4 linked regions of the Caenorhabditis elegans genome follow. The protein of the gene in region 4 interacts with the protein of the main gene of each other region in a pairwise test. Each region holds a gene or a part of one and is shown on either strand. Other genes may lie near its edges.

The links.
Region 1: the proteins of T04D3.1 (region 4) and rrc-1 interact in a two-hybrid assay, tested with the Caenorhabditis elegans proteins (one large-scale study listed by BioGRID).
Region 2: the proteins of T04D3.1 (region 4) and gad-1 interact in a two-hybrid assay, tested with the Caenorhabditis elegans proteins (one large-scale study listed by BioGRID).
Region 3: the proteins of T04D3.1 (region 4) and meg-4 interact in a two-hybrid assay, tested with the Caenorhabditis elegans proteins (one large-scale study listed by BioGRID).

Annotation. Positions count from the first base shown.
Region 1 is NC_003284.9:9,826,770-9,834,351, reverse strand, and holds the start of rrc-1 (GTPase-activating protein rrc-1), read left to right. Parts: upstream 1-3,063; 5' UTR 3,064-3,141; coding exon 3,142-3,212; intron 3,213-4,048; exon of another isoform or gene 4,049-4,197; coding exon of another isoform or gene 4,198-4,217; intron 4,218-4,600; exon of another isoform or gene 4,601-4,685; intron 4,686-5,116; coding exon 5,117-5,266; intron 5,267-5,501; coding exon 5,502-5,631; intron 5,632-5,680; coding exon 5,681-5,764; intron 5,765-6,563; coding exon 6,564-6,686; intron 6,687-6,738; coding exon 6,739-6,867; intron 6,868-7,347; coding exon 7,348-7,582. Other genes in the region: ipla-2 (Intracellular phospholipase A2), read left to right, coding at 1-287, 408-569. UniProt on the Caenorhabditis elegans protein: Functions as a GTPase-activating protein (GAP) for ced-10/rac-1 and CDC42.
Region 2 is NC_003283.11:6,429,044-6,436,143, reverse strand, and holds gad-1 (Gastrulation defective protein 1), read left to right. Parts: upstream 1-2,647; 5' UTR 2,648-2,656; coding exon 2,657-2,849; intron 2,850-2,896; coding exon 2,897-3,642; intron 3,643-3,690; coding exon 3,691-3,869; intron 3,870-3,913; coding exon 3,914-4,233; intron 4,234-4,280; coding exon 4,281-4,705; 3' UTR 4,706-4,824; downstream 4,825-7,100. Other genes in the region: erfa-1 (Eukaryotic peptide chain release factor subunit 1), read right to left, coding at 513-674, 723-1,456, 1,503-1,828, 1,875-1,984; alh-4 (Aldehyde dehydrogenase), read left to right, coding at 6,232-6,390, 6,439-6,920, 6,971-7,100.
Region 3 is NC_003284.9:1,679,869-1,688,415, forward strand, and holds meg-4 (J domain-containing protein), read left to right. Parts: upstream 1-3,085; 5' UTR 3,086-3,087; coding exon 3,088-3,145; intron 3,146-3,191; coding exon 3,192-4,662; intron 4,663-4,710; coding exon 4,711-4,794; intron 4,795-4,842; coding exon 4,843-4,989; intron 4,990-5,037; coding exon 5,038-5,172; intron 5,173-5,687; coding exon 5,688-5,965; intron 5,966-6,014; coding exon 6,015-6,340; 3' UTR 6,341-6,551; downstream 6,552-8,547. Other genes in the region: C36C9.11 (Transposase), read left to right, coding at 7,672-7,710, 7,762-7,814, 8,153-8,189.
Region 4 is NC_003279.8:13,300,624-13,307,384, reverse strand, and holds T04D3.1 (NTF2 domain-containing protein), read left to right. Parts: upstream 1-3,073; 5' UTR 3,074-3,092; coding exon 3,093-4,353; intron 4,354-4,413; coding exon 4,414-4,517; 3' UTR 4,518-4,626; downstream 4,627-6,761. Other genes in the region: sdz-30 (SKN-1 Dependent Zygotic transcript), read right to left, coding at 1-334; Protein sepa-1, read left to right, coding at 6,684-6,761.

The sequences.
Region 1 (7,582 bases), on a different chromosome or scaffold from region 4:
AAGTTCACGCCTACAACAGAGAACTTCAGCTTTCTGGAAGAAAATCAGACGCAGTTCAAATGAACGTTCTTGTATCGTTTGGAACAGGGCAGATTCCAAGCACAGTGATCGAAACCTTGTCCATTGACAGTAACTCACCACTACAATCCATAAAAACTATTAAGAATCTGGCAGCAATGTTTATCGATCAAGCGACTGCGTCAGAAGGTGCACCGGTGGCAAGATCCAGGCAATGGGCAGACTCTTTGGAAATCCCTTTCTTCAGATTCTCCGCACCATTATCAAAAGTATGTTTTCGACCTTTATCTCATCAGTGTCACAAAACATTTATTGGCAGTTTATGAAATAGTTCTCTAAATTTTAGCTGTAAAATATTTTTGAAAAATAAATGAACATTTTTATTTCAGAATATATTTCTTTCTTCAACTAGCGATTTGGATGTATGCACAATGATGTGGGATTCATTCATCTACTGTCGAAAGCATCGCGATTATATTGATGAGCTTGTAAAAGTGCTCAAGCACGACACCGACCACCCGCACGTCAAAACACCATTCACAGATCTCTAATTATTAGATTTCATGTCATAAACAGATTTGATAGACCTCCAGCATTTGTGTGTACAAATTGTATATTTCAGTTGTGTATAATAATGTACTTTGCAAAATTGATTAGCTGATATGTGTTATCATTTTTCCCCTCATAATCTCCTACCCCAGTTTTACTCTGATTTCCCTGTTGATCTTCCTATGGAATACCGGCACTTTTATCAAAATTTTAGATTTGTTTTATTGCTTTAAACGCCAAACCGCTCTCCTTTTCGCTCAAACTCGCGCTACCCTATTTTGTTGTGTCAATTTGTGACTGTCATCAGTTGGTTCTCTCTTCTTTCTACTCTCTGAATCAAAGTCTACCAGTATGATAATTCACTTTTCAATATTTTTTCATGCATTTATATCTATGAGTTGAATGAATTGGGCTTTAATAAATAATTGGGATCAAACGACGATTGTCTCAAGAAAAAGTGTCACTTGCGAAGACGTGTAAGACGATAACATCAAGTGTTGAAAGCTAGATGTTGAAATAAGGTCATTCAATTTTCATTTTCAATTTGATGAAACCTGAATTTTTCTTGGAATTTCCTACAAAAAATTTGATGATTTGTGGTTTCTTATAATTACTACCTGAAAAGTCCCAGTTGTCTATTGTATATACATGCCAAACTTTTGCTTTTTTGAGCTTTTTTTTCAACCCAGACTTCACAAATACTTAACATTTGGTATGTTGGTAACTTTTTTGTCATAACACATTTTTCGAACTTTGTTGTATTTTTTGTCAAAAAATGAGTTCCGTATTTTTTCTATTAGTTTTGCAGCCTCTAATAGTGTTGCAGTCTTTATTAGTCTTTCACCTCTACGGGTCAATCCAAAATTTGTCTTACAAGCAAGATTGATTCAGGAAACACGGTAATTCTTTCTACAATTGTTCTGGCACTATATAATATGTTCTAGTAAGGTTATTTACAAGTTACAGCTCATAATATTACTAACAATTTGTTTTCCCTTTTGCACAAATACATTTTAATTGTCAGATCAACTTTAGGTATCCATATTTCTTAAATTACCAAAGAGTAGTTGAAAAAAAAGAAGCTAGAGCATATGACGGTCATTTTTGTCTGCAAGAACATTTGAACCAGCAAGCCCGTCTCACCCAATGCGGTGATAGTGTCAGGTGGTAGATTTGTATCGAGTGCTCCACAGAAGAGCAGCAGCTAAAGAGCATAGGGGTAGAAAAAGAAGAACGTATGTGTGTGTGTGTGCTTCGCCAGAATTGTGATACGTAGAGACAAGACGACGGAGATTGGTTGATGAGACGAAGAGAGAAACTCGGGACCCGTTGCTATCTTCTTTATCTTTAGACCGAAACTTTGAAGATGAAGAAGATGAAGCGTCCGGAAATATAACACACTAATAACCCTTCGTTTTATCATTTTTGACTCAAAATCATACTGATTAGCATCAATCGTTCAACCAGTTCTTTCTCATCCTTAACCATCCATGAAAATCCTGACACCTGTTGTGCCTAGAATTTGGTTTCAAATGGCTTGTACTTTCTCTCCTCCTTAACAACAGCAGCTGTCCACTGCGTTAGAAAACCGGAAACCCGGCACGGATCCGTGTTGGCTGCTGCCCCTGAAGAGCTTGGTTATCTTTTTTGCTAGGTGTCACAAGTGTTGATGAATTTTTGGAACCAACCTGAGCTTTTTTTCTTTTTGCGTTTTTTGTTCTACCCAGTCGAGTGATAAACGTTAATTGTATGTGTTCTAAAAAACAACACATTTTCCGAGAAAATTATGTGAAATTTGTGTATATTTAATCAAAAGTTTAGAAGCATAAAGAATATAATATAAAATATAAATTGCTTTATTTTATTTTTAGTTTTGGTTTTTTGTGTAGAATTATACGACCCTTTTTAAATTTTATGATAAATTTCTAATAATCCAGATAAATTTTGCTCTGGAACCATATTAAATTTGAGTGTATGGCTTCAAAACCTTCTTTTTTTAATTTCAAAAATAGAGTTTCCACTTAAAAGTTACAACATCAGAAACTCACTTCCTCACAACGTTTATCTTCAAATATCACGAAACGAGGTACATATATATCTAAAATCTTAATCATAATCTTCAGTTTTATCCTAAAACTCTCGAACAAGATGTTTCTGGCCACATGATTTTTTAACACATGTCTGAAGATTCTTGGTTGTTGGCTCCTAACAACGCCTGCCTTCCTATGTCATTGCTCAATTTTTGACAACTTCCAAACAGAACCCATATTTACTCCTTCAGTCACACGACAATTTAACTGATTTTCCTGATTGCCCCCTTTTCGTCCCGCTTTCCTAACTAAAAGCCGTCACTTCTCATTTGCCAACACAAATTGACATGATGTTTGCATGTAAATAATCGAACCGATCTATAAGCAAAGCGTGTGTTTATAACATGTATTTTTCCTCAAACACCACACGTTTACCTTTTATTCTCATGACTTCCGGTTGCCATTTTCAGGAAGGATAACGAGGACAACAAAAACTGGTAAAAACATTTGAAAAGCAACGTATTCATTTAAAGTGATGTAAAAAATGGAAGGCATCGAGGAATCATTTGCACCTTTATCTCCCAAAAGCCCATTTGCACGCAGAAACGGAAGAAGGTAGATTTTTCGAAATTTTTTAGATTTTCAAACTTTAAAAAATTTAATGATTTAGGTTTGCCAGAATCCTAATGCACTCAAATTTAACATTTCGTTTTCAAAATACTTATCTTTGCTTGCGCAAAAGATATTTTGAATAAAGATTTGAGGTCTGGAATTAACCATTTGAGCTAATCGGAAAAGAATTAAGAGAAAAACGGGCGAAACCCGACATTTAGATTCATCCAACTTGTTTCAAAAGCTTTCAAAAAAAGTATAATAATTTTTTAAGCACCGTGTTAATGATGCAGGGTGGCCTATAATTGTGGGCCATCGTGTAACGTAATTTCCCTTCTGTTGTGGAACTTTTTTTCAAAGTATATTTGAAACATAAATTTAATTTTATGTAGACAACTTCAATTTTACTGTAAAAACAACAATTCACATCATATGCATAAGAAATTGTTAAAAGAAGAGTAACAGTTTGGTTTGTTTTTTCTTCGTGCTACAACTGATTCTACAATCTGCTTAAAATAAATATTTTTACCAAGACGTCTTGAAGCAATTCTAAGAGTTGCAATACAGACCTGTCTTGTATTTTTGTTCTTGAAAAATAACTATGTGAAAGGTCTAAAATTCTCCAGTTTTACTAAAAACGTTTCGAAACATTGAATTGCTTCCAACAACCTTTTGATAAATGTCCTTCCATAAATCTAACCAGTGGCCCACATTTTGCAATTTGATTTTTCTGCAATCACTCTCTGGTCCATCTCTTTCTCCCCTTTCATCCCAATCAAAATTGAATGTTTCATCGCTTATCCGCTTGTCTACCGCCACGACCGGCGAGTGCAGCTAGCGTACGATGTAGTGAGCGTGGGATTACACACTCACCAACAGAACCTTGAGGAGAGACCTCTCGGCTCCTATCTATTCCATCTCAATATTTCATGTAATTGATTGAATGACTTTATTTTGGACTTTATCTATTCACTGACTACTTGCAAAGATGGATCCAGAAATACCAGGGTACAAAATATGTTGAATTTGTAGTAGAATGTTTATAAATCAAAAAATTCACTTACGGTCTCCCTCATTATATCCATTTATTTGCAAAAAATTTAGTTAGGTGAATTTAGAAAAAGGTGGTTTTTGTGTTTATCGGTTGCCCAGATAAAACAGTGCAATAAAATTGGAAAAATAATGAAGTGTATTGTTGTACATAAAAAATTTACTATTGGTTACAGTGCAACATCGAGTACTGTGAGTTTTTGAAAAATATTGATATCAAAAATTTATTTTTTTTACCGTTACAACAAGAATGGCAGGCGTTCGGCAATTCGCATCAAATTATCCACCAATTTTAGCAATTCAAGCAGTTTTCAACGAGATGCACATTTTTCAGAATCAGTGCCCCGGTGGCCGAGCGGTCGAAGGCGTGAGACTTATGATCTCATTGGGTTAAACCAGTCGCGGGTTCGAATCCCGCCCGGGGCAATATCCTTTTTTTACTATTAAATCAAGTTTTACCAAAGAATAACCATTAAAAGAAAAATAATTCGAACTGTACATTAAATAATTGTAACTACTTCAGCCCTTTTTAACCAAGTTTAGGCCACTATAGAAACATTTTCAGTGCAAAGTTTTCAGCGCATCCCCAACTTTAATTTATTTTACCCAACTTTAGCCAGTTTTTCACTAAATGCATTCCTAAAGCTGATAAGGTTGGTAGATATGTTGCGGCGTTCTTTCAAGAAAATATCTTTACATTTCTTCACCACAAACATTTTAATTGGAATATTAATGTTTTAGTATCAACTTTGTGAGTTGAAAAATTTTTGAAAGAAGCAAATTTTGCTAGCTGGAAATAATTCATATACTACTTCACTGTTTATTTCGTTGAATATCAACAATTTATTGTGTTTCAGTCTTCGCATTCAACGACTAGTCGACTGTCAACACTTCCATTATTCGTCTGTTGAATTGGGTCCCGTCCGTGTTGCCATCATCGCAATAAACGCTGACGAGAATGCAACAGAGCGGATAAAAATGCGTGTGGAAAGTGAATCAAATTCATGGTGAGTTGGTCATTCCTTCTGTTTCCAATTTGTCTTCAAAAATTCGTGCTCCGTGGTGTTTCTCTCGGTTTTTCTTTCAATGTTCTGCCACACAGAAATCAAACAAAAAAGCCACGAGTGAAGTCTCATGGGAGATGAGAATAAAGGCTGAATAAAGTTAGTACGAGGAAGAACAAAAAAGAAAAAAGAAAGAAAAACGGAAACTTGAAAGGTTTTCCATCATTGATTCATTCAGGCTTGTCGAACGTTCTCGGGAGGATTGGGCAGTCTTCGACAGACAGCTGCATCGTTGTGTGTTCGAACGAAGGCATTCACGACTTGACGAGCTGTTTCCTCTTATTCATCTGGAAACGGCAAAGTTCGAGGTGACGGCTTCTTTTCAAAATCACTAGTCATCACATTTGATGTTTACAGGAAGTTCTTGTCAAGTATACGGAGCGATTATCGGAACTCACTGGCAGCATTATAACGTGCTATCCTGTTCTGAAATTTTTAGAAGTAAGCGAAATTGTTTTTAACTCCAAACTTCAATTTAATTTAAATTTAAAACTGGCTATGGTTTAGACTTTTTACAGTATCTCTTCAAATTAGAAAAGTTAAATTAAAAAAGATTCGAATAAACCAAATGAACCCAAGACGATAAATATTTCATTTCAAGTATTGCAAACATTTCAGATAGGAAAATTTGTTTTCCTTTCTGACAGAATAGTAAGTCTGTATTTCAAAGAGTTATTCAATTATTTGAACCTTTCTCACAAAATTGGTGAGTTCTAGTACAACCTTGAAAAAATATCTTGTTCTTCTTATGATTTTGACACCACTCGCTCTTAACTGCAGTGCATATTTCATTTCTGTGTTTGTTTTTATTGCAAAACATATGTACAATGTAATGCACACCTACATTATGCATTAGTATCAGGACTTCGTCAAACAAGTTTTTTTTTCATTCTTTTTGCATTTGTTTCAGTCAGTTCTGAAACTGTTCTCTCAAACTATCACTTAACAAAAAATTACGATCTTCTAAATGTAGCCCAAAACGTTTTCAGTTGAAATTGAAAACGTTCATGCGTTATTTTTCAAACCTGCGGAATAATCGTTTTTATAAATAAGTATTTACACGCTTTTTATTACATAGACAAACATTCCAGAATGAACTACTCCAATTCTTTCTAATTCACTAAACTTTCTGAGTTATTTCGATTGATATAGCTATTTTATTTAATAGGAATTATAGTTGTACTAAATTTCGACAATCCTTTCATTATTTCTCTTACGCGCATAATCTCTGAAAACACAGATTGACTCTCGTGGCGGACATTTTGAACCAGCTGAAGAAACTTCGATCAACGTGCCAGCCATCGCAGCTGCAGTAGTCACAAAGGATTTTGAGCCGACCGAAAGCTCACAGCTGCGACTGCGGGTATCTTTCAAATTTGGCCCGGCGACTACAAGTGTAAACAAAAACATTGCAGGTCGGTGATATCGTCTCAATTACGGAAATGTCAACAGCAAGTCCCAGCGAGCAAACATTTTGGAAAGCAAAACTGACTATATCCAACCAGAAGATTGTAGATCCGCAAAATGCACGGCTAGGTTTTGAAGTAAGTCTATTTAATTATTATTAATTGGAAATGTTGTATCAACGTGCCTTTGGCTCTTCTGAACTTAAAATTGCAAAAGTTTTGGTTAATGCTAAGTAATTATACGAAGATTTTTGTTCAACATCTTTTCTAAGAGCCCATTCTGATTTAAAAAGCACAAGACATAAATATATTTTTACTTTTTTCAAGCGTTCAATGCCTTCTGCTTCAGTCTAAATTGATCTTCCAGAAGTACCTTATGTTTTAAATATATTTACTATCTGATATTTAAATTGTCATTAGATTTTTTAATAAACAAAATTGTAATTAACAAAGAACGAGTGAGTAATTGAGACTGCTACTCAAATGTGATGTATATCATATACATGCATTAGTTAATTTTTTGAAAGTTTCCAATTCCGGCAACAAATATATCTTTTTCACAAATTCAGACTATTCATATTACCCATTAGTTCTGCTTAACTGACAAAATAATTCCAGATCGGTTATTTTCCACGCGACTGCGTGATGCTCATTGATGACAAACGCCTTCCTAATCCATTGAACAACGAGCAAAAAGCATCGACAAGAAATGCAAGAAGATACATGACCACAATGTTCCGTAACCGACGACGAGAACCTATTTTTGGGCTTGAGCTCACAGATCTATATATGAGAACTGGCAAAAAAGTACCGGTAATTGTGGAGAAATGCTGCGCTTCTATTGAAGATCAAG
Region 2 (7,100 bases), on a different chromosome or scaffold from region 4:
TGCCTCTACCTGAAAAAAAAACTTGTTTCAAATAAAGTTTACGACTACAACTTTAGTTGTAGCGTGAAAACCTAGTTAATTTAACAACAACAACAAAAAATATCACGATCAATATTAGATATTTTTAAAAGAATCATGATAAATCAGCTCACCTTTGTCCGGTTGAACAAGCCGCCAATAGCATCTTCGTTCCGGGCGTGGAACGTTTCTTTTTCAGTATGCTGGCAGACGTGAGATGCCTTGCCAGCTGAGCTAAAAGCATCAACAGACCAAACGAAACGACAGTAGTGAGGGACACGGGGCGCAAACTCGATGAAATGGAATAGAAACTTAGAATAAAGTGTGGTATGGGATATAGCAATTAATGATGATGATGATTGAGAAAGGGAAATATTATAATTTGACAATGCTGGATAATTTATGAAGAGATTGATAAAGAAAAAAGAGGATACAAGCTTAAATAACAAAAGAAACGAGTATGGCGCCCAATGGCTCACTACTGCCGCCCGTGATCAATAGTCATCAAGGTCAATGTTGTCGAGCTCGTCTTCAAGGTCTACATGAGCCAAGTCAACGCGATAACGGAGCAATCCTCCGATACCTCCGAATCCTCGAACAAACTGGGCTCCTTCTTGCGACTTATCTGTGACGATTTCCAAAGCTGCTCCGAAGTTCTACAAAACATTAATAAAAAATTAAATTTCGATAAAGCGAGCGCCCACCTTGTAGTTATTAGCAAACCATTCCAAAAGTGGCATAGTCTCAATAATTTCCATATCTTGTCCAGTTTCACTGTCGGTGAAATGAGATTTGTCCTTCTCCTCGTCAGGTCTCAGATTCAGAAGAATGTCCTCTCCGAGTGAATTTTTCATCTTGTACCGAACAATATCCAAATTCTCCCAGCAGATGAGAGTTTCAATAGCTCCCATTTCAAGTGCGGCAAGAGTGTCTTTAACTCCGAAAACGTATTTTCCAGTGTCTTGGCTGATTTCATCGAAATATCCACCAATCAGTTTCTTTTCCTGAATGAACTTAACACTTGCCAGCGTATCGGCAGCAAGTTCAATAGCTTGGTTGAAACCATTTTCACCACCATAAGCAATATCGACAGTCTTGATCATCTTGGCTTGAAGTCTTTGATCAAACATATCAGATTGTCCCAACTCTGTCTTGAAATCTGCACTACCAGCAAGAATAAGTCCAGCAACTGTAACCTTGTCGTTCTTGATAAATTGTTCCACCGAATTTTCAGCTACTTTACGGACGTAATTGTGCCGCTTCTCATTACGGAGACGAGCAAAACGGACAGCAGATTGACCTCCTCTACCGTGCTTCTTTGGAAGATCGACAGTGAACTTGTGCAGAACTTCACGAGTGTTTCCTTGGAGTGTTCCGAACAGACAACCGTTTCCATCCATAATGATAAATCCGAACTTGTTATCGTCAGCAAGAAGACCTGAAAAATGGTATATTTTATGATGCATGATGAAAATTAGAAATACCTTGAAGAGCTTCGGTGTGAAATTTGTTGTCGCAGAGATACAATGAAGTATTGATTGCTTTGAATGGCTCAAAATCAATGTTAACTTTCTTTTCCTTTCCTTCGTCGGTCATGATTGTTCCACAGTAAACGACCAATCCATTTGGTGGGACTTTGTTGTAGAGTTTCAATCTTCCCTGTACTGATGTGATAGCTCCCAAAACGGAAAGTCTGTTGACACGAGACTTGATGTTAGATGCCGTTCCGTACTCTTCGGCCAACATTCTCTGGATTCTAGCCACTTGATCTTTTGGTGGAATGATCAGCGAAATCATAGAAGTTCCATTTCTGTAAAAAAACAAATGTAAAATAAACGCTTCACGAAAATAGTTACCCTCTGGCTAATTCCAAACTTTTGATGAGCCGTTTAATTTTCCACATTTCGACATTTCTATCGGCGGCGTCATCGCCTCCGGCGGTAGCACCTGCTGCGGGAGCGCTCATATTCTATTTGTGCTGCACGTCACCGATTACCTGTAATTGTATTATATAAAACACGAAAAGAGAGTTAAAGTAATTAATTCGGGGAAGAAACTCAAAAATGCGAAAAAAAAGATATTTATAGAGAACTGGTTATTCTACATTGCACAGAGTTGTGATGGAAAATTAGAATATTGTGCAACATGTTGCAATGGTTTCAATTTGATTTTTTTAGAAGAAAATGTATTTCGTTTTCTCTGAGCAATGACAAAATGATGAATAAAACATTTCTGAACAATTTAAACTGCAAAAATCGATAATTGATGACGCGTAAAAACTTTAAAAACTGAAAATGGGAAAAGAATTTAAATGGTGCCAAGGAACACGAATACGGTTTGTGGAAGGGTCTCGGCGCGAAGTAATGTCCGATTGTCCACACTTTCTCCGCGGCCTAGTCTCCGAAACAAGTCAGCCACGTCCTCAATGTTCGAAATTCGAAAACATTTTTCAGCTTTCATCAGAACTCCAGGACTGTTTCCAGAATTTATTAGTTTTTTTCGCCAAAATATTATATATGTACCACGGCAGTTCATTATATTGGTTGTATTACACGTTTCTTTTCGTTATTAACTCTTTTTTTCCCGTTACCGCCTAATAGATGAAAACGAATTTCAATAATTCTTTCAGATCACCACAATGGATGATAATACGGCTCCAAAAAAGAATTCTGAAAAGAAGGCACGCGTCTTTGACCTCCAAGCAATGTTCGCGCAAACGATAAGCAATGCTCCCAGAACTGAGGAACCAACTCACGTTCCGCAGTCGGTATCGGTGTCTTCTAAATCAGAATCTGGTGTTTCTTCTTCAGCTGTATCTGATGATGAAGATGGTAAGCCGAATATAATGTTTTAATTATTTCAAATTTGTTTTTTCCAGATTTCATGCCAGATCTACCTCCAGGATTCCAAATGCAACAGTCTGAAGCGGGCCCCTCCTCGTCTCGAGCTGAAGGTCCCGAAGATAGTGATGATAGCGATTTTGACGAGACAGAAGCAATCTCCATCATCAAACTGATTCCAGCTGCATGTGAAGCGAAGATCAGCCATGGCACTCAAGCCATCAGTGCACTTCGGGTTGAGCCTCCTGGTGTTCGGTTTGCCAGTGGAGGGCTTGACTATTACGTGAAGCTGTTCGATTTTCAAAAAATGGACATGTCAATGAGATACGACAAAGAGCTTCTGCCTGCAGAAAGTCACGTTATCAATTCCCTGGCATTCTCTCCGAACGGCGAAACTCTTGTAGTAGCTAGTGGAGAAGCTATCATTCGCCTACTGGATCGAGCAGGAAAACAATGGTCTGAAACAGTTCGTGGAGATCAGTATATTATTGATTTAAACATCACTAAAGGACACACAGCAACAGTTAACTGTGTCGAATTCAATCCACTAAACAAGAACGAGTTTATCTCTTGTTCTGATGATGGAAGTCTACGACTATGGAACCTCGATGATCATAAAGTAATCACCAAATGCATCAACAAGCACAGGAAAGTCATCAAAACAAAAGGAGCTAATGGAAAACGTGTCAGCCCGCAAGTTTGCACGTTTTCTCCTGACGGAAAATGGATTGCCGCCGGTTGTGATGACGGATCTGTTCAAGCATGGAAGTATGGATCGCAATATGTAAGTTGAAGTTCAAAAACACTGTTTATTCTCATATTTTAATTTTAGGTCAATGTAAATTACCTTGTACGCAAAGCTCACAACGGCTCGATTACTTCTATTGCTTTTTCGCCCGATTCAAAGAGATTACTGTCTAGAGGTTTTGATGACACTCTGAAGATGTGGAGCTTAGATAACCCAAAAGAGCCGCTTCTTGTGAAAACCGGTCTCGAAAACGCTTTCAAAAGGTATCCTTCTATTAAAAACTTCACCATAAGTATATTTTTTGTAGTACTGATTGCGGATTCTCCCCTCGTGCCGAGGTTGTCTTCACTGGTACATCGTCACCCAACAAGGATACACCTGGAACATTACAATTCTTTGATCCAATGACATTTGATCTTGTCTATAAAATTGATTACCCTGGAATTTCGTGCCACCGAATTCAGTGGCACCCGCGATTGAATCAAATTATCGCTGGACTCTCGGATGGCACCATTCACGTGTACTACGATCAAACGATGTCACAGCGAGGAGTTATGTCATGTGTGACGAAGCCACTCAAAAGAAATCGCGCATCTGAAGTTGTTCGAGAAGATATGGTTCTTTCTCGTAAGTTAAACAATTTTTTTCGAAAAATATTTATCTTCATATTTCAGCTCTTTCCCTCGAAATGTTCCAACCGCGCGGAGAGGAAGGAGAAGAAAAGGAAGTCACTGGATGGAGAATCAAGAAGTATCTCCGAATGCAGGATAACAAGCTTCGTCCCGAGTTCCGGAAGCCTGCAGATATGCCTATCAACGGAAAGAGCGCAAATGGACGTGTGGCTGCAAGTGGTGGAAGTCTTCATTCGTATTTGGCAAAGCAAATCGGAACTGCTCGTAATGCCGAGTTCCTAAAAGATACCGATGTTCGTGCAAGCATCCTGAAACATGCTAAAGACGCCGAAGAGAATCCATTGTACATTGATAAAGCGTATCGAAAGACACAGCCAAAGAAGATTTTCCAAGAAACTGCAGTCGAGCCAGAAGATCAAGATGACGAAGAGCTACAGCCTGTCTTCAAAATGCCGAGAACGAAGTAGTCGTTGCATTAATTTTTTGTTTTTCATCTGTCTGTCTCCCTCTTGTAATATTGTTTTCCTATTTTTTTCTCTATTTTTTGTGTCCCAATAAATATAGAGTCAATGATCACATGATGTTGGAGAAATTGTGTGTTCGCCATAGTCATTGTCTTGTCCAAATATCTAACGCTAGCTACACTCTAGCATGCTGCTCACTTCTATCTTTCCCATTCTTCCAACTCCCCCCCATTTCAACAATATGTGGTCGTTTGTGTCAGTGTCCGGTGGACGATGGCTACACTTTTGCCGCAAGAATTGTATCCAATCGGGATCAGGTTCACTTTTAAAATTGAACCCGGTTCGGATGTTTCGCTTTTGATCTCCTAATCCAAAAACCTGAAACTGTATTTTTAAAAACGTTTCTATTATGGATTTAATTCCAAAAATTGAGAAAACTATATTTAAAGAAGAAATTATTGACATGGCCTCCATTCCATTTCTTTCTTATCATACATTTTCCCACAACTGATACCATGTGCAGCCTATTCAAAGGGTCACTTTTTGCTGAAGTGTGTAGAACAAACATGCAATCCGAAATTACAGTTCCACAACTGTTTACTCTACAATTTCCTTTTCACATTTTCTTCCTGTTTCAGTGCCGAGAAATTGTAGCTAGTAGCAAACAAAACAACGCCGTGAAATTTCGTCCTTGAAGTTTCCCTTTCCCTCCCGAGAAACATCCAAGTTCTCGACGGTTATATCGATAATTATCTTCTTTTTGGTCGAACTTTCTGTCTGTTAAAATAATGATAGGTTACGGTTGAAAACATAAATCTAACATTTTTTCGAGATTAGACTTGAGATCAATCTATAAAATGAGTCAAGTCGTATGAAGTTTCATCTACATACTTGACCACAAGTTGATCACTGAATTGAACTGCGCCTAGATCTCACACTATACCCGAAAACAATCTCCACCCTCCCAATTAAATAGAAATAGTGACATCATTCAAACCTAACTAACTTTGTAAAATGTCTATTGTTTTTAGATTTGCGTAAATTCTTATACTGAACGTATTTTAATGTTTCAATGAGTTGTATACATCTAAATTGTTATAGACAAAAACGTTTCCAACAAATCATCATTCCAAATTTCGGCAGTTGATAACTGAAACTTAGATTTCATCAGTTTTCTAGACTTCAATTTCACGAAATATTTTGCTAACGGCGATTAAAATATTTTGGCATTTCTCTATATGATTGGTTACTTGTTTGCGCGACTGTCGTCATGTGATCATCATTATTCTGACCGCTTCCTTCTCGTCTCCGAATATCGTTTTTTTTTCGTTGACTTGCCCCCCTCCGCCTTCTCTGTCCTTCATGAAACATACATCATCTACCAGAAAATTTATTTAGGCAACTGCGTTTGATAATGATAACTAGGCAGTATATAACCCCAGGCTGACCCTTGAAGGTCACGTTGACCATTCTGAAAACGCTCGCTATAAATTTAATTTTCCTTCAATTTCATTGCTGATTTTTCAGAAATGGCATTCACCGAACTAGTGGAAACCCAACGCAAGTACTTCCGTACAGGAGAGACAAAACCAGTCAAATTCAGAAAACAACAACTTCTGAAACTTAAAAAGTTTATCGAGGAGAACCGCGAGGCTTTGTCAGAAGCTGTTTGGAAGGATTTGAGAAGAGTAAGTTAGAATTTTCAAGTATAAAATTCAAATTTCTAACATTTTCAGCGCCATGAATCCACTGAAATTCTAGAAATCGGAATGACCATTCAAGAGATTGACTATTTCTTGAAGAACATTGATGACTGGGTGAAGCCAACCCACGTTGAGAAGACCTTCACAACTGCTCTCGATAAGCCAGTAATTGAGAAAGATCCAAAAGGAGTTGTACTCATCATCTCCCCATGGAACTATCCGGTCTCTATGATCCTTCTCCCAATGGTTCCAGCAATTGCCGCCGGAAATACAGTTGTGATCAAACCATCCGAACTGTCCGAAAATGTTGCCGCAACTTTTGAGAAGCTCATTCCAAAGTATTTCGAGTCAAAATACGTGACTGTCGTGAACGGAGGTATCCCAGAGACTACCGATTTGCTCAAAGAGCGATTCGATCATATTCTATACACCGGATGCCCACCAGTTGCCAAAATTATTATGACAGCAGCTGCAAAGCATTTGACACCAGTCACATTGGAATTGGGAGGCAAATGGTAAGTCTATAGATTGATTTTTGAACAATTTCAAAATTTAATTAATTCAGCCCGGTCGTTGTTGAAGATGATGCTGACATTGATATTTCTGCTAAAAGAATCGCTTGGGGAAAATGGCTGAACTGCGGACAAACTTGTCTGGCACCAGACTACATTCTTGTGAATAGCACTGTGAAGCCG
Region 3 (8,547 bases), on a different chromosome or scaffold from region 4:
TTTTTTTTTGTTTGTTTTAAGTTCAAATTCCACTCGGATTTCAATGGTTACTTAACTGTTATTTTACGTTCTCGGTGAAAACATTGTAAATGAGAAGCAAGAATGAGATACCATTGAATGAAAAACAAAAAATTAAAACAAAAAAGTGAGCAATAAGTGTTGTATATTTACGTATCATGATAAAAAATTCAAAAAAATTTTCTAGATTTTATATGATTTTTTTGAAAATTGCAAAAATCTCAGTTTTCCCCTAATTCCTATTTGAATTTCCGCCAATTGAATTCGTTCGCTGGAGCACACTTGCATTATTTTTATTAATTTATTATATTGTTTCTCATTATTTCACTGATTTTCTTCATTCTTTGTGTATTTTTATCGGAAAAAGAGAGAAAAATTCAAGATAAATGCAAATTATTTATTTAAAAATCACTGAAAATGGGTAAAACTGTAAAATTATGAGTTCCGACGATAGCAAGCCTGAAATTAGCTTATTTCACAGTTTCACCCATTCTCAGTTATTTTTAAATAAATAATTTGCATTTATCTTCTCTCTTGTTTTCCGATAAAAATACACAAAGAATGAAGAAAATCAGTGTAATAATGAGAAAAAATAAAATAAATTAATAAAAATAATGCAAGTGCGCTCCAGCGAACGAATTCATTCGGCGGAAATTCGAATAGGAATTAGAGGAAAACTGAGATTTTTGCAATTTTCAAAAAATCATATGAAATCTAGAAAATTTTTTATCATGATATTCGGTCATTGTGGTAACATAGGCGTGTTTTAAAACAATTTCCCCATTTCGAATTTGAACTCATTATAAATACTTGCTTGGCAGTTTGGGAATTTTGGTTACAACGCATATAGAGACTTTGGAAAAGTCTCAATATTTTATAAGAAAAGCCACTCTAGAGAGATCAATTGAAAATAAAAAATAAAAAAGATCCTTTGTATGCTGCTTGCAGCTTCTCCGGCGATCGATTTCATATAATTCATTAGTGACTAGGGGTGGCAAGAGTGCGACCTAGGTCGCTAGGTCGCTGTTTTCATTTAGGTCGCATTGCGACCTGCGACCTAGCGACCTGCGACCTAGCGATCTGGGTTGCATTGCGACCTGCGACCTAGCGACCTGGGTCGCATTGCGACCTGCGACCTAGCGACCTAGGTCGCATTGCGACCTGAATTACCGACATTTTGTTCTCTTTCGGTTTTGATTCACTTGAGTTGTTAAAATCCGTATAACTCGAAAACTGCATTGCGACCTGAATTACCGACAATTTTTATACTAACAAATTGCTACAAATCATTTATTTTACATTGTTTTCGATTTCTCATCCATAAGACACCTTGTCGAAAAAAGTTAGAACAGCCGACATCCGCCGGATTTGCTGCTTTTTTCTACGTTTTTAATTCGAAAAGTGGAAAATGAAATTTTAGAAACAACAAAAACCACAAAAACGTGAACTTTTTGAAAAAATTTGCTGAAATGCATGGTTTTATTTGTAGAAATGAATTCTTTGTTCCGTACTTTTGAAAAAAAACTACGCATAAACTTATAAAATCTTAATAGAGAAAATGTTAGTGGAATATATCATACATATTCTGCAATCTTTAGTTTTCGAGTTATACGGATTTTAACAACTCAAGTGAATCAAAACCGAAAGAGAACAAAATGTCGGTAATTCAGGTCGCGATGCGACCTAGGTCGCTAGGTCGCAGGTCGCAAAGCGACCCAGGTCGCTAGGTCGCAGGTCGCAAAGCGACCCAGGTCGCTAGGTCGCAGGTCGCAATGCGACCTAGGTCGCGATGCGACCTAACCCTCTAGGTCGCAGGTCGACCTAGGTCGACCTATAGCCACCCCTATTAGTGACTCATGCTTCCGGGGGGTGCATGGCTCAGTGCCTATGCGCGCTGCTTGCAATCACAAGGTCACAAGTTCGACCCCCACCTCCTAGGTCCTTCCAGCCTTAAATGGGAATTCAGTGTTCGTTCCACTGTCTTACAGCTTACATACGGCATTTATCCAGGCAAGACCTGTAGAAAAAAACCAAAAAAAAAAAAAAAAAAAAATTTTGCCACGTGGGGCAACCTGGCAGTATTTAATGATTTCATTTTGGTATTGAAACATGAGACAGTCTAGAAAATTAATTGGCAGAAGTTATCGACCACAGTCCTCAAGATTTTCATTTGATCCCACGTGGCAAACTGTTTGAGTTTTCTTCATTTTTTCTTTGTGTCATAATTTGAAATTTTACTTGCCACATTTTCAGACATTTTTCCGTAAAGAAAATTGGCTGCTCACTTGGAAACGCTGAAATTAGTCTAAAAATCGATAATTCAGTATTAATTTTAACTTACTTTACTGAAACATTACTGAAAAATGTATGAAACTGTGAAAAATTAAAGTTTTAAGTTTTAAATCAAAGAAAATATTAAGAAAAATGTCAAAGATCAGGTCAATAATTTGCGCTGGAATTGAAAAATAATTCGGCCCTTTTTTTTTGCAAAATTGAAAAAAATCATAAAATTTCAAAGAAAATGTTCGGAATTTTTTTACAGTTTTATTCGATATTTACATTGAAACTCTATTTTGTCATTAAGGTACAAAAAACCCACAAACGCTACTCCACCTTTAAACTAACAAGTACACGGAACCAAAGATTTTTCCTTATTTTTCTTCTTCTCGTGTTTTATTCAGTGATTATCTTTCCGGTCACCAATATTCCAGAGAATTAACTATCAATATCCGACTTTTTACTCAACTGTTCCTCAAACCTCCAATACTCTTGAAAAACAGCCGGTACCATACAAACGTTTTGTGTTGTTTTGGTAATACCCCTGCCGCATTTTAACTGTGTTTTTGCCGCGCGCATGCATTCCCCTGACCGTTTCCCCACACACTATTTCGCGCTCTCTTTCTCTACCTCTCTCACTCTCTCACTTCTCGCACTCACTCACTCACAGGTCTCCATTCTTGCTTTTTGGTCCCACCGGTTTTCATTAATTCCTCTCTCCCTCATTATTTTCTTTACATTTTTACATTTTTACATTTTGTAATATTTCATTAAGTTTTTTTTGTTGCAGGTATGAGTTCTTCAAAGCTTTCCTCATGTGATCTGCCAAACTCCAGAGGAAACAGAGAAGGTAAGCATTTTTTAAATCAATTTTTTTCTTCAATTTGTAATTTCAGGTCACCGCTCTCATAGTCGAAGCAATTTGGAAAGTGCATCGAAAAATATGGGACACCACATTAGTATTGAAGAATTGTTTTATTCGTTCGTAAAGCAAGACGGTGTTCAGTCAACAAGCCGTGGATATGGTGGCAGATCTCACCACGGATCCGTGTCTTTTAACGGGAATCCTTCCATGAACGGCGACCAGTTGAATCACTCGATTAATCAATCGATGAATGCAGCTCGAGCTAACAGAAACGTCTTCAACTCATCGAGCATTCCTCCAACGGCCCCCGTGTTCTCTGCAGACTTCCGTCAAAACTCGCAGACACGCAATAACTCCAGCTGGAATCAACGGAACTTGTCAGTTTCCACTTATCAGTACAACACTCAGCAGTCAAATACAGGGCACAGTAGAAGCCGTCCGAATGGACAACTTGGCCGAAGCTTCTCGGATGGATCGAACAATCATGGCCATGCTGGGAATGTGTCATTCAGTGGGAGTTCCGTTCCAGCTGGGTTCCAGAAACAAGAAACCAAGGCTTACCAACAACTTCATGGAAATAAAAGCTTCAACGCTCAAGCTGGAGTTCAAGCTCCTGGAGATCACAAGGACAAGAGATATGGAGGCATGTTTGGAAATGAGCTTATCAATTCGATCAATTCTAGTTTTGGCCAACAGCATGATGTCTTCAAGCCGCGGAATTTGAACCAGAGCTTTTCCGGATTTACTATTAATGAAGCTTTAACAAGGAAGCATCATCAAGAAGGATCAAGAAACGATAGAAGAAGATCACATGGGAGCACTAATGTCCAGGATCGTGCTTTCTACAACACAGATGACAATGAACTGTCTGACGACGTGTTCATAGAAGATTCCAATGGTGTTGCAAACGGTCCAAAATCTGTCACTAACAAATCTCAACAACAGTCTCGCGGAACGAAGGATGCTGGCAGTCAAGTGGCGGAGAAACTGAACTCTTCCAGAGGAGCTGCTCAACGTAATCTGAAATCCAATGTGTTCAGCAAGGACGGCACCGAACTTTCTGTGGAACAGTTACTGGAAATTGTCAGCATGAAGATCGGACAACACTTGCACTCAGCTTCCAGTTCTCACGGAGAATGCAGCAATTTGAATCGGACATTACCAGCTAGAAGTGATCTAAATTGCTCAATTGGTGAAGACTTCGACTCCAGTTTTCTGGATGTAAACAATCGAACCCTGCCAGAAAATCTTTCGAAGAAAACTTCAGTGCAGAAACATCGTCGTGGAAGTTCTCGTAGTGCGTCCCGTCTCGCCAGTCTTGACGTGACGCTGGAGACTGTAGAAGAAGATGTCGAACCCACACCAAGTCCACATCCGAGTTCTCCTCCAAAGATCTCAAGAAGAAAGTGGACAGGAACTTTTGATGCCAACGTTGAGGAAATGAGACGTTTACTTCATGGGGACCCTGGGAAGCCGAAATCTACAAAACGTGCTTTCTCAAGGTATGTAGTGATAAAAAGTGAAGTATTTAGTAAAAGTTTGAATTTCAGCAAGGATCAGAGAACACCTTCCTTGTCAATCATCACAAGCCCGAAGGCTTTGATCGGAGAAAAATGTCTGACAGCATCCAACAAGTTAGTTTTACACTTGGAGCTGCTTTTTTCATTATGTTTGTATTGCAGGTCTTCAAAGATTGACAAGTCACTTGGCATGATTGATTCGAAACTCACAAAGTCACCAATGTACTCCGCCACGGTTTCTGGGAAGGAAGCAACTTCAGGAAACCGAATCGCTCGAAAGTTGACTCCAGGGCTTGATGGACTGAAAAGGTATGGAACTACAAAGAACAAACAACATTTTTAAATGTTCTTTTCCAGCTCTCATTGTACCGGAAATCCAGTTTCCATAGATTGTAATGGTTGCCCAACTCCGAAAAGAAGTGGAATCAATTGTGATAATCGTATGGCTGAAGTGAACAACCAAGCCGGGAGATGGTCCTCTGAAGCCACCAGGTAAGGCCCAAATCAATAAATTCGCAATGAGTTTCGTATTATATAAATTTCTGAATTCTCAAAAAATCGTGGATCAAACATATGGAAAATAATGTGCAAGTTGAGTAGATTGAGGTCAAGACTAGACCTCTCGAGTAAAAAAATAGAGCATTAATCTTGCACAACTCCGCAAAAAGCCCTCTGCTTTTGTCTATTGCCCAGAAGGTGTGCGGCAAATTTGTACGGTTTTGCCGAAACAACTTTGCCGAATTAGCCTAATTTGCCGTTTGCCGAGCTCAGACAATTTTGATCAAAGCTATGGATTTTGTCGCCAAAAATTTAGTAGTGCTCGGCAACTTTTGAGATTTTCCACACATCCCTGGAGCCCAGTCTAATCACTTGATATTATAATTACTAAACGGTGAATTGCGAGCCCGCTAATAAATTTAATTTCCTCAGAATATATAAATTTTTGCCGCACAGCTTGATTCGATTTCTGTAACATACTTTCCAAGTACAATTAATTTTTTTTTCAGTCAGCCTGCCCCACTCCCTTGCAAGTCAGCCAACCCGACCGAAGATTCTTCTCAAGATGCACCTCCAACTTCACCACCACCTCGTATTTCTGATAGCTTGACGGCATTCCTGGAAGCTCAACAAGACTTCAATGATTATATTGATGCTCACTACAAAGAGAAGACACAACTCTTGAAAGTGAATTTGAATATTCACGGGATGTCACCTGAAAGATGGCTGTACTTGAATTATTTTTGCACCGAGACAATTCCAAGATTGGATGGTCCTTATGCCGATGGTAAGAAAGATAAGACATATTTAATCTTGAAAAACGTAAATTTTTTCAGATCCAAGGGTTCCACCTGTGCGAAATATATTCAGAAGATGGTTTCTCCGGTTTGCTGAAGCCTGCTTAGGAAATCCAAATGACCTTGCAGTTCAGAAAGATATTGCTCTCGAGTTCGTTCAGGCTCGGCTTGACGATACGAGCAGCTCCACAGATTCCACCAATATGCTCTACATGTTGTGGAAGGAGTGTATCGGACAGAAGAATATCATCTCAATTGCTGATGCGTGTCTCCTTGTATATCTTCGGAAATCGGATCCTGTCAGATACTTGAATGCAAAACGAGAATGGCTGGAATCTATTTTTGACCCACCCAGAGATCAATGATTGTACTGATATATATCTATTTCATGTCGAGTATTTTGTATTTTATTCTTGTTCATTGACCTTTTAACCACTCTTTTTATACTCCAACTTGCTCCTTCTTGTGAATTTATTTATGGTCTGCCCAGGAACTTGTAACGGGTAGTTTTCTATTGTTATCAGGACTGCTGCTCATTCAAAATTCAAAGTTGAATTTCAATAAAGCGAATGTTTGAAATAGGTATATAATTGGCAACTGATTAGTAGAAATATGTCTCTTCTTTGGCTTTTTGTAAAAGTTAGGCAAAAAAGTGGTCACGGATTCAATTTCAAAAGCGATGCTTCAGACTTATCCGCTACGATAGCGAAGGTTCCGTTTGTACTGAAAAACACAGTAGAGGAAATTGGTATAGGCGCGTATAAATAGAATTCTAGTAGTTGACTCTGAAATATAAAAAGTTATTAACAATCCAAATTGGCAATTACTGATTATAAGGATAGGAATGTTAAGTTTTCTTAATACTACTAGATACTACCCTCTACATTTTTATTGATAGGCATGCCTACTTGCCTGCCTAACTTCATTTGAAGGTCTTCTCTTTGAACGTCCACTTGCGCCATTTCCCGCCTTAAACTTGTTGTGTTTTCCTTGGATGGCTATTTGACTAGCGATTTCAGCTTTCAAGAATGAAAACAATGTTAAGTGCTGGCCTTAGATATCCAGTGTTTCCTGTGAAATTTCATTTCAGTGGCAGCATGCCAGACCAAATCCAAAAAAACCAAAGGGGAAATTGTTAAAAACTACTCCTATGATCCCAAAATGACAAATTATCATAGTCAAAATTTTCTAGAATATCGCTTACATCCGAAGCCTAAGCCTACGCCAAGGCCTAAGCCAAATCATAGGCCTACGCATAGGCCTAAGCCTAAGCCTGATGAAATAAAACAGTATAGTTTCATTTAAATGAAACACCAGAACCATCAAAAACACTTGATTTTTTTTCAAATTTTTTTTAAACTAAAATATTTTTAAAGTTCGAAGGAAAACTGTTTAGCATCTTTTTCTTTTTGTGTGTCACTCTACATTAATATAAAATTTTATTGCAGTCCGCTACACACTTTTTCATTGTTTTTGTTTCTCTGCTCCTCTACTTTCTTATCAAAATTTTTTCCCGGAGGTATCATTTGGTCTTCCTGCGGCGGCTTGTGTGGCTGGCACCACCATTTTTTTCTGGATTAAAACAAATTAAAAAAATTTATGTATTGTATGTGTGGTGAGTTTTAAAGTTATATTAGTTTCAAGAAGCTAATTTTCATTACTTTCAGAAATTTAATTTCTGCTATCCGCACCCCGAATGTCTACAAAAAATCTTCTGACTCAAGATGGTAAATTGGTGAGTTTTTGTATCAAAAAAGTTTCGAAAACCTTCAGAAATTAATTTCAGAGTAAGAATCGGCAAGTCGAGGAGAAAAATATCTTTAATGCAAATCCCACATTGTAAGTGCTTTTCTCGAAAATCTATAATAACATGGAATAAGGTTATGGAATAATGTATACATTAGATACATAGTAGCGTCCTATAAAAATACCAAACTGCCAAAAAATATTAAAAATTTTGAAACTTCGGTCTAATTAAAAGATATCAAGCAGATAAACGCTTAAGATTAGCCCAAAACTGAAACATTTCAATTTTGAACAATCGTTAGCTAATTAAAAACTACAAGCATTAAACCGACTCCAAAATACCATTAAAAAAGCTCACGAGAATTGCGCCAGTAGCCTTCTTGGATCATTTCCAAGTAGGAGCCTATGTCATAATAATACTATATTTTCAGAGTGAATAAAATTGTCTGCGACCTCGAATCATTCTGAGACTTTTGCGAAGTCAACAAGGACATGAACATTTATGATAATTTCGACGGAATGGCATTTGACTGATAATTGTTTATATAACTGTTTCATTTTTCATATCCTTTATTATATTTCCCCTCCCCCCTTTATTCAATGTTCCCATTTTTCAACTATTCCTTTACTTTCCACTTTCTGAATTTCTTGTTTCATGTTTCAAATCCCGATTCTCATTGCCTAATCCCACAAGTTTTAAAATAAACTTGTCACAATAATAAACCCCCAAACAGTATTCAATTCTCGCTGCTCTCGTGCTATTCTTGTGCTATTCTTGGATTTTCTGAATCCAACACGTTTCAGGTCTTTTGGTCTGCTGTTCTGT
Region 4 (6,761 bases):
CGCCAGTCGAGTGAGAATAGGCGTACTGCTCGATCTTGTTCGTGATCCCATTGTGCACAAAAATGACGAGCGTCGAGGTCTTATTACAGACCACCGAGTACTTAGGATAAAGATCCGCTTCGGTGACTCTCGCTTGACACTGAAGACACTTGTGTGGGACCAGCTTGGGTGACGCCGGATGCTTGTTGAACATGTAGTATTGACCAAATCGTTGAACACCGATTGTTCGCGTTCTTGTCACGGGACAATTTCCCATTGCAAACTTGGGCAATGGTCTTGGGCACATGATGGGCCTGACGCCTGGAGCTGGTTGAGCTGGGTATTGAGGGTACATGGCTTGTTGGAGATGTTTCTGGAAAATGAAGTGTGAAGTTTCAGAATTAGATGAGGGAAAAAAGGAAAATGATTGTAGGAATGCTTTTTTAAGGGATTTTTGATTTTTTCAACCACTCACAGTGGACATGAGGGCAAGAAATTTGCAGGAAAATTGAAGGAATGTTAATTGTGAAATTCAAGAAACTCTACATTTTTTGAACGATTTCAGACGTTTTGAACTTCCCAAAAGACATACGTTTTGTAACGTTTTGTGAAAAATTCCGGGCTTTTTAAAGTATCGGCATGATATTTGTCCGTTTTGTGGCAATTTTGAGACATTTCATGGACCTGGAGGGACCAGCAAATCGACAACCCTTTTTGCTCACTTTTCAATTTCCGATAATAGTGTACATAAAGAGACTCTGAATGTTTGAAATTCACGGAATTTCCCAAGAGTTGGCAGAAAAAATTACAGCAAAATTTGAGGATAGTGAATTAAACATGATTATGAAGGATGGAACAAAGTGAGCAAAAAGTATTGTCAATGTACGATGTACTGTTTTTCAGAGGGTTTTCTGCCCTAAAAGTTATTTTCTTTGCATTTTGATAGGAGTTTTGAGTTCAAAAAGGTTTGATAGACAATTAAAAACGACTTCTTTTTTGAAAAATCACAAAAAAAATCATAAATTACCAAGACGGTAACTGGCAACAAACATGAAACAAAATCAGAAAAGAGCAACCTCTTCGTGTGCTGGTACAATGAATGAATGAATGAATGAATAAGAAATGTGTACTGTCGATCTGACAGAGCAACTACGACAATTGGGCGGAGTTTAGGTGTACGCATCTGTTTGTCAATTGACATTCCGATCGATTGTTGACCATTACAGTGGTATATCGATCTGAAACTAGGGTACTTTGGTCAAAAAATGGATCTTGCTGCTGTTTCATGAGGTTTTTTTCCAATTATTTTGGATTTATTGACAAGGAAAGAATGGAATAGAAAATGTTAAATTTCACATCAACTTTGAAAGCTTATATCTCAGTTATCGTTTGCCTTATTCAAAAATTGTCAACTAACAAAATATTTATTAGCTCTTTTTCTATAATTTTGTAACTAATAATATATTGATATCTTTAAAATGAACCGAGATATAACGTTTCAAAGTTAAGTAGTCGGGTGCAATACTAATAGAGGAAATACGGTATTTGAAACCTTAAAGACTGCTTCATAGGCTTGAAAATATTAACGGATTTGCATATAAAATAATGGTCTTACAAATTTCCGTAATAAAGAAGGGAAAAACTATTTTAAAATGCAGTATTTGTGCTCAAACTTCCAATTAACTATAGGCATTGTAGGTATAACATAATAATTTTTCCGTGCTCATTCAGTTGCTAGTTACCATTCCCCGTGTTTTTTCTGTCGACTCCTGGAAGGTTCTATGATTAACAAACATTTTGACCCTCCTTGAATCGTCTTTTGTGTAGCTGAAGTCGAGTAGAAGTTGCTTCTGCCGGTTTTTTTCTGAAACTCAAGAACAAGACGCTAAAAAGTTATGTTGTTTCTGCACTAAAACAATACGCATAAAACTTGTCTCATCTCAATTTTTTGAACAAAGCAAATGAAATATCAAACATAGAAGAAAATTTTTCATCGAATTCTCACAGGTTTAATTTAATAATGTTATCACTTGGAGCACATCACATCAAAGTCCCCATAAGAGGCAGTCCTCCTACACAAGGACTGTCCTGAGAAGGTTTCTAGGTTTGTTTTTTTCTAGGTTTGTTTTTTTCTATAATCCTTCGTTTGGTCAGAGATGTTTCTTTACAGATTTATAGCATACACAAACACTGTCTCTCCCAGTCGATCTACAACAAAACACGGATAGCCTGTACGAGAGATGCACGACGCAGACGGGCAGACGGTGGTCGTAAATGTTCGCGGGCCTTGCTCAAAAGGTCATTATGCAGTAGACTGTCGGTCTCTTCTTCCTGTTCTCTCATTTTCATTTTCTTTATTTTATCCAATTCTTTTTTTTCGAATTGTAAGTTTATGAATTTTCCCTTTTCTCCTCTATAAGAGCCATTTTTATTAAATTATTCCAATTTGTAGTTTTCACTTCAAAAATGGTTCTGCAATTAATCTTTTTTTTTTCAAAAGTAATCCTGCGCCTTTAGACTGTTTCGGTACTCCATTCCGCTAGGCTAATAAATTGACCTAATTTTTAGGTGCCAAAAAATGTCAAAAGAACACTCGTAAAACTTTGATCTACTGATTTTTAATCCGTTGGCTGATGTGGGAACGGGGTAGTCAAATCTATGTGACCTTGCGCGCGCAACTTATCATTCTGAAAATTATGCTAGTTCTAGAAGTTCCTCGAAAGCGTTTTTCTAGAATATTTAAGTTTAATTTTTTTCACTTTTTTAAGAACTTACTGTTTCAAGAAAAAATACTTGAAAGTTTCGTTTTAAACTGTTAGAGAACGGATCTTTAAAGTCGGTTGAAATTGGAATTCCTGCGCAAGTTCTTAATTTTCTGGACGAGAAATATATAAAAAACTGTTCAAAACTAAAACAATTGTCGCCTGGGAATCTGAAATTCTGCTAATCTTGAGCTGGGTTTTCACTTACTTACTGTCCTCTAGTGCACCCAACAAACTTTACTTTGAAATAATATATAAATTTTTCTTTTCATTGCCAGTTCTGACGTTCTTTTTCTTTTTTTTTTGAAATCCTTATAATTCCAAAATTCCAGATCATCATCTCTACTTGTCATGTCATTCATTGCATATCCATGTGCTGTTCCAACTCAGCGCCAAGTTCCAATGTCTCCTCCAACAACTCCACGGATCCTCATGAAACTCTGCCCGATCATGGAGATTCCCATCATTGGTGGACCCCGTCAAAATGGAACCTACAATGTGTTCATCTTCGACCTAAAAATCAGGAAGTTCATTCCACACAGATGCTCCAGTTGTGCAGTGAAGATCCTCGAAGATCACCTGTCACCGATGTATGCCTCGGGAAGTGTGATTTTTATGAGAAATGAGGTTACGCAAGAGGTGGAGCAGTATGTCTACTCGTTCGAGACTGGTGGCTTCCAGCAGGTCGACTATCCGGAGTTGGTTTACTCGGCTGAAAAATTCACGGAATCAAGTTTTATTGTGATGATTGAGAACTCTGATGGAAAGAAAGTTCTGATCGAGCGTGGAGGAAACGAAGCAGTTCGGAAGTTGGAGTACAGACTTGGGAAGTGCGTGGAAATGCCAAAAGTTGAGGTTCAACTCTTGGCCGCCGAAGAATTTGATGACGCGGATCCATGGTCTGACAACGACTCCCTCAGTTCTGAACATCTTGACTACAATGAAACACTTCCAGCATTTAAAACCACATTCTGCCAAGACTTTCAGATGTACGTTCTCTACATTATCACCAGCCGTGGTCATTATGAAAAGTACATATACAATCAGAGCACCAGTCAATTCGAGATCCTCGACTGTGAGAAGTGTCCGGATACAACCAGAGAAGTGGATCTTCTCCCCAAGTATGCAGAGTTTTGCGAAGAGATTCAGGCTTATGTGATTCACGTCTTCAACTCCTTCACAGATCGCATGGAGCAATATGTCTTCGACTCGAAGATTCAGGGATTTGTTGAAGTGAATCAGCCAGAGCTGAAGTATGACTCATCGAAGGATCAGGATCCGACTTCGAGCATCTTCTTCGTTCTCAAAGGGACAACAGTGATCATGAGGGGTGCACAAGGAAGACTGAAGAAGGAGGTATATTGCTCGATCAAAAAACATTTCGTGGAGGTTCCCAATTCGGTGATCAAGAGTTTTGATACTCAGTTTATGGAGAAGAAGCAGAAGATGGACAAGAAGAAGAAGGCCAAAAAGATCAAGAAGTCCAAGAAGAAGGCATCCAAAGAATCTCAAGAGTTGGATGTCTTGGTCGAGAAGATCCGTCTTTGTGATGATCCGTTTTCTGATGGCCCATCTTGCTCAACTTCTCCAGATATTCCGGAGGATGCCCCAGGTAACCCTTAACACTTAATCCATACTATTATTCATTTTTCTAAAAATATACTCATTTCAGACGATGGCATGTCAATTCTCAAACAAAAATTCGTGGAAAGCCTGACAACTCTCTACGGCGGATCGTTGCCACCATATGTTCAGAAGGAATTGGAACAGATTTGAGGATTTGGATTAAAATTAGTTTTTTTTGTTAAATTGCATATTTTTTTATTTTATTTTGTCTTGCGGTCTCATTTTTCTTCCCGATGTTCCATAAATAAAAGACAACTGTAAATTTGTGTGCCTTTAGAAACGGCGGGAAAAAAATCATTGCTGAAAATCTTGCTTGACGTCATAGTCTTTTAGAATGGGATTGCCAGGTTCTCTTTGAGGCAAATTAAAATGGGGCACGTTTCCAAAAGAAATCCGGCAAATGGATGTAATTTTCTCTGATTCTATGAATCTTCTGTCCACATTTGTAGTCCAATTCAAGGGTGGGCGGCAATTGCCGTTCGGCAAATTTTTTTGTCGACAAACTCGGCAAAGCGGCAAGATGCCGATTTGCCGGAAGTTTTGAATTCCGGCAATTTGCCGGTTTACCGATTTGCCGGAAGTTTTCAATTCCGGAGGTTTGCCGGTTTGCCAATTGCCGGAAGTGTTTAGAGGGGCTTTTTATATGACAGAAGCACTTAAAACTGTGCCTTTTTGAAATTTTATTCCGTTTTCTTTAGATATATTCATAGAGTTTGCTTATTTTTAAAAATAGATGTAGGAACATTCATAGGATGCGTAAAAGTCTGCTGAGTGAAATCGAAATTCTGAAATTTCCAAAAAAAATGTGCAAAACCACAATTTGCCCGTTTTTCTGGCAAATTTGGCAAAGCGTCAATTTGCCGGTTTGCTGATTTGCCGGAACTTTTCAATTCCGGCAATTTGCCGATTTGCCGGAAATTTTCATTTCCGCCAATTTGCAAATTCCGGCAAAAAATCATTTGCCGTCCACCCCTGGTCGAATTACTCTCAGGTGGATCGCGTCCTTGCTCAGTGTCTGGGAATTTAAGCTGACCTTGCTTTGTCTTAATAATGGGAGTATAGGAGAAATTTATGAAGAAATGTGAGAAGTACATGTAGCCAAGATATGGGCGGTGCCATATTCAGTTCATGCTCCGCCCATATCTTGGATACTTTTCTGTTCAGATTGCCGATAATTCTTTCTATTAGATCAGCAGCCGTAACATGTTGAGATTTACCATATCTGTAAAATCAGTTCCCAGAAATTTTGTTAAAAACCATCAATATACTACATTCGTTTGTAGATCTTCTCCTGGTAGTCGTCTCAATCTTACATCAGTCGATAAAAACATCTGCCAATTCCCACCTCTTTCCCGAATCTGGTATCCCAAGAGCTGAGTATCGATTTAAATTGGTTGCAGCGTTTGCTCCAGATGCTCTGAGTTGTCTTGAAGAGCAGAAGACATCATTCAGTCTGCCTGCATCGCCTCTAGTAGGTCGTTTTTCTTTTCTCTAGTCAGTCTCTAGAGCTCCTGTTTCCATTTTTTTGTTCTCGGCTATGAACTACAGTATTTGTTTCCTTTTTGCCTTTTTCAAATATGATGTATTCTTGAAATTGATATGTCCGTAGTTCCCTTTTCTAAAAGTGTATCTTGTAGTTACTTGTGGTTTTACCAAAAATTGGACAAAAAATATCAGTTGTACTTTGATGGTTTTATTCAAAACTTGATTTTAACACAAAGGAGGACTAAAGACGCTATTTATGCCCCTGATACCAAATATCGATGTGAAAAAAATATAAAAAATTTCCGTGATTTTATATTAATTTATTAAAATCCCAAAATCCTATTTAACGCCGAAATTTTCGTCAGAAAAGGCATCGCCCATAAAAACCGTACCGCACTTGTGGATTTACGAGATTCATATTTTCGATTCATTTTATTTAATTTTCAGCCCTAGCAGTAGCCTTACCTAAATTCTAGCCCACAAAATTTGTGCATCTTCCCGCCTAGTATTATACAACAATCTGTATTGATTGCTTATTCCCAGGTGTTCTGTACGCGGAGTTGGCGGGAGCATTTACCAATCGATAAACTTTACTTGATACGTTTATATGTCCTGTTGCACTCGTCGTTTTGTATTAACTCCTACAACACTTTTTGCTCACTACTTTTTCATTTTTGATTTTTTGCAGTGGTTCTTATACTTCTAAATTTCCTTTAAACTCCTATTTTTAATCGCGCCTGGTAATTTCACTTATCACTTTTTTATTGCATTTGTATACGTTTTCAATTATTCTTAATCTAACTACACCTTAATTCCAGAAAAATCTCCAAGATGACACCTCTTTCTGCTCTTACCTCCAATCCAGCGCCTTCACCTCCACCGAAGTTTGCACTCGGAAAGTGCCCTGCC